Caenorhabditis elegans: one gene and its partner. The protein of the gene in region 2 interacts with the protein of the main gene of each other region in a pairwise test. Each region holds a gene or a part of one and is shown on either strand. Other genes may lie near its edges.

What was found.
Region 1: the proteins of F11G11.4 (region 2) and sop-2 interact in a two-hybrid assay, tested with the Caenorhabditis elegans proteins (one large-scale study listed by BioGRID).

Annotation. Positions count from the first base shown.
Region 1 is NC_003280.10:12,338,112-12,345,432, reverse strand, and holds sop-2 (Polycomb protein sop-2), read right to left. Parts: upstream 5,490-7,321; 5' UTR 5,488-5,489; coding exon 5,398-5,487; intron 5,062-5,397; coding exon 4,995-5,061; intron 4,778-4,994; coding exon 4,282-4,777; intron 3,511-4,281; coding exon 3,165-3,510; intron 2,804-3,164; coding exon 1,928-2,803; intron 1,877-1,927; coding exon 1,814-1,876; intron 1,799-1,813; exon of another isoform or gene 1,745-1,798; intron 1,299-1,744; coding exon 1,023-1,298; 3' UTR 638-1,022; downstream 1-637. Other genes in the region: C44C11.6 (Transcriptional regulator), read right to left, coding at 147-281, 567-599. UniProt on the Caenorhabditis elegans protein: Polycomb group (PcG) protein. PcG proteins act by forming multiprotein complexes, which are required to maintain the transcriptionally repressive state of homeotic genes throughout development.
Region 2 is NC_003280.10:4,858,815-4,862,316, reverse strand, and holds F11G11.4 (uncharacterized protein), read right to left. Parts: upstream 1,724-3,502; 5' UTR 1,621-1,723; intron 1,267-1,620; 5' UTR 1,243-1,266; coding exon 984-1,242; intron 843-983; coding exon 715-842; 3' UTR 621-714; downstream 1-620. Other genes in the region: nspd-5 (Nematode Specific Peptide family, group D), read left to right, coding at 1,957-2,172; F11G11.5 (Membrane protein BRI3), read right to left, coding at 3,470-3,502.

The DNA of each region.
Region 1 (7,321 bases), 7.5 Mb from region 2:
TTATTCCATATCCTACCACCCTACCCGTTGTGCCCGTTATCCCGAGTACAAATCTCTCTCAAATTTCGACCAAAAATCTGATATGCGCTCTACTGATAGCCCTGTGAACCCATTTTCTTTTAGAGTAATAAAAAACGTGAGAATATTTATTTTTGTTCGACGACTGGTTGGGCGATTGCCTTGACGACTTGGACGGCTTCACGGGATGATGGTGAAGCTTGTACGGCCGAGTCTTTGAGCACCTTCTCGCGACTTGCACTTCTCGATCGAGATTTTCCGATCTGAAAATGTTTACTTCAGTTCAAGGACTCGAACCAGTGGCCTTCTGTTTGCAAGTCAAGCTCGTTACCCACTGAGCCATGCCGACAATTTTTTGCGGTGCTGTGCGGCCAGTGGCTCAGCCGGTAAGAGGCTCAGCTTTAAGGGAAAAGATCACAGGTTCGATTCCTGACGTCGGTGGAGGTCGGTGGACTTGAACCAGTGGCCTCCTGCTTGCCAGTCAAGCCTGTTACCCACTGAGCCACGTGTGCTCAGCCGGTAAGAGATTTTTTAATTAAAAATCTCACATTTTTCATTGCATTCACAGCGTTCTTTAACATTTTTGTGTATCGTTCGCTTTGTGGAAACCAGAAATGAATATTTTTTAACTTTTCATATACAAAATGTCATTAACATTTAAAAAACTCGAAAAACATTTAATCATGAGGGCAAACGTGAACAGAAAAAATAAGGGTAAAACGGGTATTATGACAAAAATCGATTGATTATAGAATATAAAACATGTCTCTGTGAGTATCAAAGGGGAATTTAATAGTTAAAGAAATTGCAATCAACTTACAAAAAATTAAAATTATTAAAAATTAGAAAACTGCTGAAAGTTTTCTATCATCTAAGTAGGTCCAAATTAGGTAACGAGGAATGGGTAAAGCGGTAGGAGTCAATATGCAAGAGCTTGAAATGTCAGAAAAAACAACAAAAATATTAATTTTAACATTAAAATTAACATAAAAAAATTAACAGAGTTAACGCTGCTGAGCCTTCCAGGCAGCCAACTCCTCATGGAACTTTCTCAAATCAGCTTGATACTTTTCCGTACGATAATGGTTGAGCACCTCAGTCCCATAGATCTTCATCTTCTTATAATGACCATATGGAATTGGTACCTCTTTTCGAAAATCATCGTCCAACACAAGACAGGCCAGCGTTTCTCCGTCAAACTCCTCGCGAACCATAATTGCAATAGTGGAATCCACGTTGTTGGTGATGAGAAGCCGAACCCAGTTGATGAGATCTTGCGCCTGAAGCATAATTGTTTTAGAATGTGTTAAGTCGAAATCCAGAGCCTAAGCCTGAGCCTAAGCCTGAACCTATGCTTAAACCTGAGCCTAAGCCTAAGCCTAAGCCTAAGCTTAAGCCTAAACCTAAGCCTAAGCCTAATGCTGAGCCTAAGCCTAGGTCTAAGCCTGAGCCTAAGTCTAAACCTGAGCTTAAGCCTGAGCCAAAGTCTAAGCCAAAACCTAAACCTGAGCTTAAGCCTAAGCCAAAAGTCTAAGCCTACGCTTAAGCCTCAGGCTAAGCCTGAGACTAAGCCTGAACCTATGCTTAAACCAGAGCCTAAACCTGAGAGAGAGAGAGAGCCTAAGGCTAACCTATGCCTAATACTAAGCCTAAGCCTAAGCCTAGATCTGAACCTGAACTTGAGCCTGAGCCTATGCTTAAGCTGAAACCTAAGCCCAAACCAGAGCCTAAGCCTACGCCTAAGCCTAAGCCTACACCTAAGCCTAAGCCTAAGCCTGAGCCTTAAAAAACTTACGTTCCACCTTGTGTAGTCTGATGTCTTGTTGGGCGGCAAAATGAGCGTAGCTTCGTGGTTGTTCTGAAGAAAATTGTAATTAAAAATTAGTCGTCATATTCTGAAAATGGTTACCTCGACAAGTGTAGGCATCGCAGGTGGAACTGGCTCCGTTGACTGTGGATCCCTGACGATTGGAGCTGGAGCTGAAGCCAATTCGACTTTAACCACCGGAACAGTCTGCTGAACTGGAGGCTCTTCTGGCTGGGATGCTGGTGGAGCCTGAGGAGCTGTGAGACGTCTCAGCGGTTGTGGCGGGATCCGATTGATGTGCGGGACCTGCTGAATGATGTTTGGATGGCGACCGGCTGTCGGTGCTGCTGTGGAGATCACCTGCTCTTGCTGCAGAACTGGCGGAGTTTCAGACTCTGGTGGGGATCCGGTAAGCGAGAAAATCATCGCCCGGATCTTTCGTGGGGAATCCCGAGAGTCGGATGAAGCTGGAGTGGCTGGGGTAGCTGGAGCATCCGGTGGGGAGCTGGAGGTGGATGGTGGGGCTTCTTTGGTTGTGGCAGTAGCTGGAACTTCTGGAGCTGCCTCGGATCTTTTTGGGATTTTCTCGGCTGGCTCGTCGACCGGCTCTTTCTTTGGCTCCACGAGCTTCCCCGATCCTCCAGATGTCCTCTTCTGACCTCTTCTCGATCCTCGTCTATTGCCACCACCTCTACCTCCACGTGCATTTCTTGGAGTAGATGTGCTCGCGTCGTTATCCACCTCCATCTCAACCTCCTGCTCCTCAGCGGCGTCCGAATCTTCAGGCTTCTTCTTCTCGGCGGCTCGCCTTGGCAGAGACTTTCTCGGTTGAGCAGCAGGTGTCTCTGGTAGGGGTGCAGCAGGACGACGGCGTGATTCGGGCCACATGTGGCCGAGTTCGCCGACTCGGCCACCATCCTTGGGTCCCAAGTCCATGCTCATAAGACGGTCCATTTCGGTTGTGCGGATTTTCTGAAACTTTGAGAAAAAATTTTAATTTGTTCACGAACCTTTTTTTTAGAACCTTTTTTCAATTTTTAGAGCAAATTTCAGCTTTGAAAGTTTATATCTCAATTGGTTTTTGTCTTATAAAAATTTTGAAAACTGCAAAAATGTTTAGAATTAATTTTTCTATAATTTAAAATAAAAAATAAATAGAAAATATGCATTAGAGATTCAGTTACGAGTTGCCAAAGTAAAGCTTATAAATTGCTCCAATTTAAGTTATCAACAAATACTCAACTACGAAATTGTAAAAAAATGCGGTAATTATTTTGTTAGTTAAGAATTTTTCGAAAAAACAAAAACCGTCCGAGATACGAGCCTTCAAAAAGCTTACCTTTTTTTTCTCGCTAGTCGGTCTGGACGCTTCTCCTTCTTTAGATGTATCCATCTCGGTAGCCGCCGACACATTTGACAGATCCACAGCCGACTCTTGAGGCATCTCTGTGGCAATTGATGTGTCCATAACTTCTGCTGCCGGAGCTGCTTCAGGTGTTGCAGGAGCTGCTGGAGCCGCTGGAGCCATCGGAGCCGCTACTGGAGTCTCTGGAGCCACCTCTGCAGCTGGTGCAGGTCTTCTAGAAGGTGCTCCGCGAGCTGCACCTCTGAAAGCACCACGATAGCCGGGCCGTCCTCCCCTCCGAGCTGCCATTCTGCTCGAGCGAGCCGCGAACTTGTTGGTTCTGAAAACAGTTGATTGATTGTTATCACAGAAAATTGAAACATTGCTAACAAAAATTGATATAACGCGCGACAAAAAACATACACACAAGGTCACACACTGCTGGGAAAACATACATCGTTCCATGTTTACATGAATCTCTGGCACCCTCTCACTCTCCCCCCCTATCACCTTCAAACTTGGCGGCGTCGGTGTGCGAGAAGTTGGCAATAGGGCGCGTTTGTTATCTTGATAAAGTGTAGGGAAATTTAAGCTCAAAAATTTCAAAGACTTTGATCTACGTAGATCTACAAAAAATGCGGGAGAAGAGACGCAGAGTTCTCAACCGATTTTGTATCGTTAAGAACGTGCTGACGTCACATATTTTTGAGCAAAAAATTCCTACATTTTTTGTAGATCAAACCGTAATGAGACCACGGAAAAGACTGATATGATCAAAATCTGGAAGCCAGGCCATATGATAGTTGTGCGAAATATCGCACTTTTTTCCCTTCCGCCATGACTCAGATATTGCTTATTGTCCGTTTCATATTGCAATATTGAGTTTTGTTATCATTAACAATCATCCCACGACATTCTTTAATATCTATTTTTTTTCTTAGTTCAAGAATTCTAAACGCCTGAAAACGGCCTGAAAAACGGCCTGAACGTAGCTTTATGCGTATAAAAAACCACCCACAAATTGGTTAAATGTATGCGCTTTTTGGGCTTTTTGCTTTTGGGAATAATATATTTGCTAATTAATTTTTTGTTCTGAAGCTCTAGTGCCTACCTTTGCAGATTTCTCATAGCTCCTAGATCAATCGGAAGTTCCTGATCCTCATCAGATCCATCATAGAACACCGGCTCGACTTCCCCTTCTTCCATCTCTCGAGAAGCTTGCTCCAAAATGCTCGTCACCCGCTTCTCCACATGATCCGGCTCGTCGGCCATCGGGTCAGCAGTCCTTTGCAATTGCTCATCACGATCGAATATCGTATCATAACGTCCCCGGTTGAGATAGTATTGGAGCTTTGAGCTGACTGGTAGTGGGACAACCTTCTCGTGGAGCATCTCCTCCTCGGCAGTGTTGAGCACTTTGATGATGGAGTTGGTCGGCTCGAACGTTTGGCGGGAGCACACGGCTTTTTCGAATTTATGAGCAAAAATGTCGGCGGACAGGCGTACCGCTTCGTAGAACTGAGATCGGGGGTCTTTGCCCTCTAGCTTTTTGTCGAGTTTTGCATAATATTGAGCTTCTTTTGGTAAGCTGCTTGATGAGCATTGATCTGAAAAATTATTATTTTCACTAATTGTAAGCAAGTTTCAAAAATTGAAGGTCTAGTAGAGCTTTAAAAAACTACAAAATTTTGGTAAATTTCCGAGAAATTCGGAAATTGGGGTTTTTTGAAAATTGGCAATTTGCCAAAACGGAGTTTATATTATAACTTGAGCACCAAAATTGCAATTATTAATTTTTCTATAATATATTTGAAAAATACTCACCTTCCAATGCATTTTCAACTTCGTGCTTTTCCGGTCGAACCACTTGAGATGTCGATCGTCGAGTGGACTGAAAGTTTTAAAACTATTGTAACTTATTGGGACGGTTAGCTATCAAAAAATTGTCAACTAATAAAATGTAGATAAATTTTGGTACTCCAAAGTGTTAGTTAACAATTTTTCCATATCTCTATTTTCCGGCAAGTTAGAGGGTTTTGAAGTTGATAATTACTAAATTTGTTTCTTTTTTTTTAACCCCTATATCTCATTGGAAAATAACTGGGCAACATTTGATAAAATATAAAAAATAGTTTAAAAAAATATTGAGCTGGGTATAAATCATTTGTTTTGTGTAAAAGTAGTGGAGAAACGATTATTTTTATTTTTAAAAATTTGTAAACTATACCTTATCCCTTTCATTTCCCTTCACAGCCTCCGGGGGCTCTACAATTGCAGATGTTGATGACATCTCATTACTGGTCAAGTTTGAACTCATTTCTTTTGAAAAAATTAATTTAAATGTATGTTGCAGTGAAATTCAATAAAACAATCTCCCGCTGAGAGGGGAGCGTCAAGATTCGTGATGGAGCGCGATTGCTCGTATAGTGGGGGGGGGGGGGGGGGGTGTATGGTACTTGGGATTTTGTTTCAAAAATGATTACACAAGGAAAATAAATTTTTAAATAAGTAGAGGTAGATTTTTTACACAAAAAAATCAATAAAATTCTGGAAATGTTTCTTTTCTAAAAAAAAAACTGTCAATTCAACTTTCAGACACTCCAAAAAGTTATGCCCGATCTTCACAATAAAAACTCGTATCTCACAGAAATTCGCAGAAAACTTTTAGATACCGGTAGCCTAAATTTGAAAAGAAAACTAAATTTTAACCAAAATGGTTTTAAAATAAAATTTTAAATACTTTAATTTTCACATTATATTTTCGATCAAAACACTAAAATAATTTTAAAAAAATAAAAAACGAAAACAGCAAACAAAAAAGTGCGAGTGACCAAATCAATCAATGCGAGTCGCAGTGGAGAGTGTGTGATGCGCGCACGCTCACCCCCACTCAAACTCACAGTCACACCTCCCCGACCCTCTTCTTTCACCACAGTGTCTCGTCGACTCGAACGATGATTGGTTTACGGGCGGGGCAATTGGGCAAAAGAGTGAGGAGATGATGGGGAATTGTATGACGACGAAGAATTATGTGGAGAGAGGAAGATTGAAGGGGAATAGTGCAAGAGAAGTTAAGCCCTGATTAGATATAAAAAGAGGATGGCTTATGGATATATGTATATGTATAAGGATTAAAAAAATACATTCCAATTATTTTGTGTATTATATAATTATATGTGTTTATAACAATCATCACCATAACTTATAGCAGATTATTCAATTTTTGGAGGTATAAACCAGGGAAAGGCGGCAATTGCCGTTCGGCAAATATTTCGTCGACAAATTCGGCAAATTGCCGGTTTGCAGATTTGCCGGTAATGTTCAAATCCGGCAATGTGCCGATTTGCCGGAAATTTTTATTTTCAGCAAAGTGCCGGTTTGCAGATTTGCCGGTAATGTTCAAATCCGGCAATTCGCCGATTTGCCGGAAATTTTTATTTTCAGCAAAGTGCCGGTTTGCAGATTTGCCGGAAATATTCAAATCCGGCAATCTGCCGGTTTGCCGGTTTGCCGGATGTTTTCATTTCGGTAAATTGCCGATTTGCCAGAAGTCTTCAATTTCGGCAATTTGCCCATTTGCCGTTTTCCGGTTATCAATTTGTCGGAAATGTTTAGAGGAATTTTATGTAAGACGGAAACCCTTAAAACTGTGCCTTTGTGAAATGTTTTCCCGTTTTCTTTAGATATTTTCATAGAATTGTCTACTTCTAAAAATAGATGTATGAGCATTCCTAGGATGAGTGCAATTTTTCCGATCAAATTTGAAATTTTTAAATTTCCAAAAAAAAATGTGCAAACCCACAATTTGCCGAAAATTTACAGCAAAGTCGGCAAATCGGCAATTAGCCGGTTTGCCGATTTGCCGGAAATTTTCAATTCCGGTAATTTGCCGATCTGCTGATTTGCCGGAAAAAATCTTTCGCGGCCCACCCCTGTATAGATGCCAAGGCTTTTAAAATCACAAGTTTCCGGGGGACACCAGTAACGTAGGAAAAATAATGTTTCATATTCTTTTTTTCATAAACTTTCGATAAAAATAGGGACTTTATAATTTTTCAATTTTTATTTTCAGACGGTTATTTCATGTAAGATTGAAAATATTGTTGAAATTTGCACTCAAAAAACTAAAAATTTTCAATTAAGTTCAAAAT
Region 2 (3,502 bases):
GACTGTTAAATTACATTTGCCTGCCTGCCTATGCCGAAAGGTGTTAATTTTTTCCTTCTCGTAAAATATGAAGTTCACACTTTAAACTGTAATTTTTACAGGTTTTAAAATATATTTTTGAACTGTCATATTTTTAAAAGTGAAAATTGATTAGCAATAAAATGTTTTATTCTACCAGTCGGAGAAACTTTTGTGGACAACTTGGTTCGATTTTTCCAAAAACAGTAGGCAGGCAAAAGACAGGGAGGTAGGCAGGCATTCGGGAAAATGAAAAGAAAATTGGTTGAATAGGACTAAACTTTGGGTGGCCGGGATCCAGTTTATTTTCGGATTTGTGTTTTTTGAAAAGCAGGTATGCAGGCAGTCACACAAGTAGGTAAAACCGTGGAAATGGTGCAGGTGTGATGTAGGGGAAGCTATGTGGAAATGAAGACATGAGGCAGGATCGTGTGTCAGCATGATTTAGACATGATGTAGTCACATAAGAGATAGCCGAGGAAATATTGGTATTCATTCGATTAGAAAACTATTAGGCAGATCATTTAGAGCATTTAGCAGTAGACATTTAGGCCTTCGCCGTAACGGCATGACTGAGTACTATAACAAAAAAAAGAACGAGCCATAAATAAATACTTTATTGAATAGTGTCAAATAGAATTGACACTTTTAAAAATAAGCCGGCTTGTCATTTTGTCGTTTCTTTTGGTTCATCTCTCAATTCGCAGAAGATTCCTCAAGTCCTCCCCACCATGGATGAATGTAGTGCACCATGTTTCCTCCAGCCTTCACGCTAAAGAAGATTGCAACTGCGATGAAGACGAGCAGCACCACCAATCCGACAACTGAAAAATATAATTGTATAATTGAAACCTTAGGTGTAGGTACAATGTTGCCTGCCTGAGTGCCTACAAGGAACTTTCCGTACACCTTCTAGGCAAGCTGATAGGCATTCTCGTGCCTGCAGACTTGGCCATCCAACTCACCGATTCCAGCACAAAAGATGGTTCCCTCGATTCGAAACAAGAAGTTCTGCGATTCGAACTTGTCGGCCTTTCTGACTTTCTTGGTCTTTGACTTTCCTTTCGACTTCTTTCCTTTTTTGCCCTTCTTATCCTTCTTCTTCTTCTCTTCCTTCTTGTCCAGTGCTCCGAGCAGATCCAGCATTGCTGATGAGCCTCCTTGAGGTTTAGCACCTTGTGTTGGGTCACCTGCATCCGTGAATGAGACGTTGTCATCAGCCATTTTCCTTTTATGCCCTTTGTTTCTCTGAAATACGGATAATTTTGAGAACTTCGACTGTGATCGTGGCGAGACTCGCTGAACGCGCACCTAATTGAGGCCTCTTAGTCTGAAGTAGTACTAAATTAGCACCAAAACAAGTCATAAAAAGAGTGGCACCTTCTCATCCACCGTATCTGCGAGTACTGTAGCTTAACTCCAAAAAGTTTAGCAAATATAGTTACGTATGGCTCTCCAAAAATCTCACGAAGCGTATAGCCTGCTAATTTTGAGCAAATGGCTAAAAGTTGAACATCAGAGCATGCCACAGATTGGAAGATCTTCGTTCAGCCTCCACTTGCCCGAGAGAAACATCTTCCCAACCATTTCGAGGATACTCACCTTTTAGAGCTCAATGAACAACCGGCGCCTTTTGAATACTTTGTTGTAAGCAATGAATTTTTGAATAAGGAAACACGTGAGAATAAATAATAAAGATTAAATTATTTATTTTAGAATGTCACTGGATTTATTAATTATTTTCAATTACTTATTTTTTCATCCTTTTTAATTTTAAAAGAAATTTCCAAATTTGAAAAGTTCATGTAGACGGCGTGAACTTTCCGTGGAATATTCTTATCTTTGTCCTAGATCTTTCCTTATATAACGGGGCAGAAAACCTCAGTCAATCAGTATTCTGAGCAAGTTTCTCTGAATAACCCCAAACGAAAGACAACGATGGCGGACAAGTCGGCTTACATGGGCGCTGGAGGCTATGGATCAGGCTACATGGGATCCAATGCCTCGTCGTCGGGATATGCCCGCGAAGACTATGCACAAGGAGGAAATGGTGGTGGACAACAACAGCAGAACCAGGGTTCCGGAGGAAACACCAACCCAGGTGGACAGGTCTTCAAGGCCCGCACTGACCAATCGTGCTACCTTGGACCATAAGATGATCGACACTAGAAGAGCCAGTAGCCAACAGAAATGCAACTTTCTTTGGCCTTTTGTGCCCAATAAATAGTTTTTCTTAGCTCGTTTTTTGTTGTTTTTTAATGTTAATTACTTTCTCAATTGTTTTCTCAACAGCAATAAGTTCTCCTCTGTTGTTGGTAGGTGCTCCGTACACCGGCCCAAATTCGTTGTCCTCACCTAGTCTTCTCCCTAGTAAAATTCGGGATTGATAACTGAAATGTTTTTGTTAAAACTATAATTTATATATAAATAAATAAATATATATATAAATAAATAAAGAATTTTAATTCAATAAGCACCTTCTTCTTCTTTCTTCAGTTTCTTAGCTTTCTGTCAATTTTGTTCCTTTGTAAGTCCGCTTTCTTGTGGCTGATGGATGGTTTTGATACTGCAGGAGTAACCGGCTTGAAAGATCATGCTTATTATACAGCCAATAACAAGGTAGCCGGTCTCGACACGACAAATTTATCAATAAATGCAAACGGGTCTGCGCCTTTGAGGAGTACTGTAGTTCCAAACTTCTCGTTGTTGCAGGATTTTATCTGATGTTCCATAAATTTTCAAACAATTTTATTTCATAAAAATTATTTTATTTCATAATGTCCCGAGAAATTGATTTTTAATTAATTGCGAGGTTTTGAACAATTTCGCGATTCCTGCCTCAAAAATACGATACCTGGTCTCGAAGCGATTGTTTTTCTCAAGTGCGCTTTTAAGAAGTACTGTAGTTCCCAACTCCTCGTTGTTGTAGGATTTTATTTATGTTCCATAAACTTTCACCCGTTTCTTTGAAAAATATATTTACAAAAACAATAAATTTTTAAGAAACTGGCGAAAAACCAGGAAAAATCGAAATAATTCCGTAACTACAGTACTCCACAAAGGCGCACGTTTTTTCGGAATTAATGAAATCTGTCGATGCGAGACCTGGTACTTTTCTTTTGGAGAACTCATATCAAACTTCTAGATAATCGGTAATATCTTTATTTCAATTGTTTCAATGATATTCACAGCGACACGCATAATCTGAATGGGTTTTGGAATAAGGCTTCGAGGGAAAAGGGGGAGGAAGAGTGATGAATTCAGTATCTGAACTGACTTCGTTGCATAAAATACTAAACATAAAACGGTAACACAAAAACACACTCGTGACCAGTACAGTTCACTAATTTTACAATTTTTGATTATGGTATGGAACAGTTAATATGTCTACTTGGTAGGAAGGGGGAAATAATAATACTACAGCGGATAAAATATAAATTGAAATTTCTTCTTAAGCGAGTCGATTACAGTGAGTGCATCGATT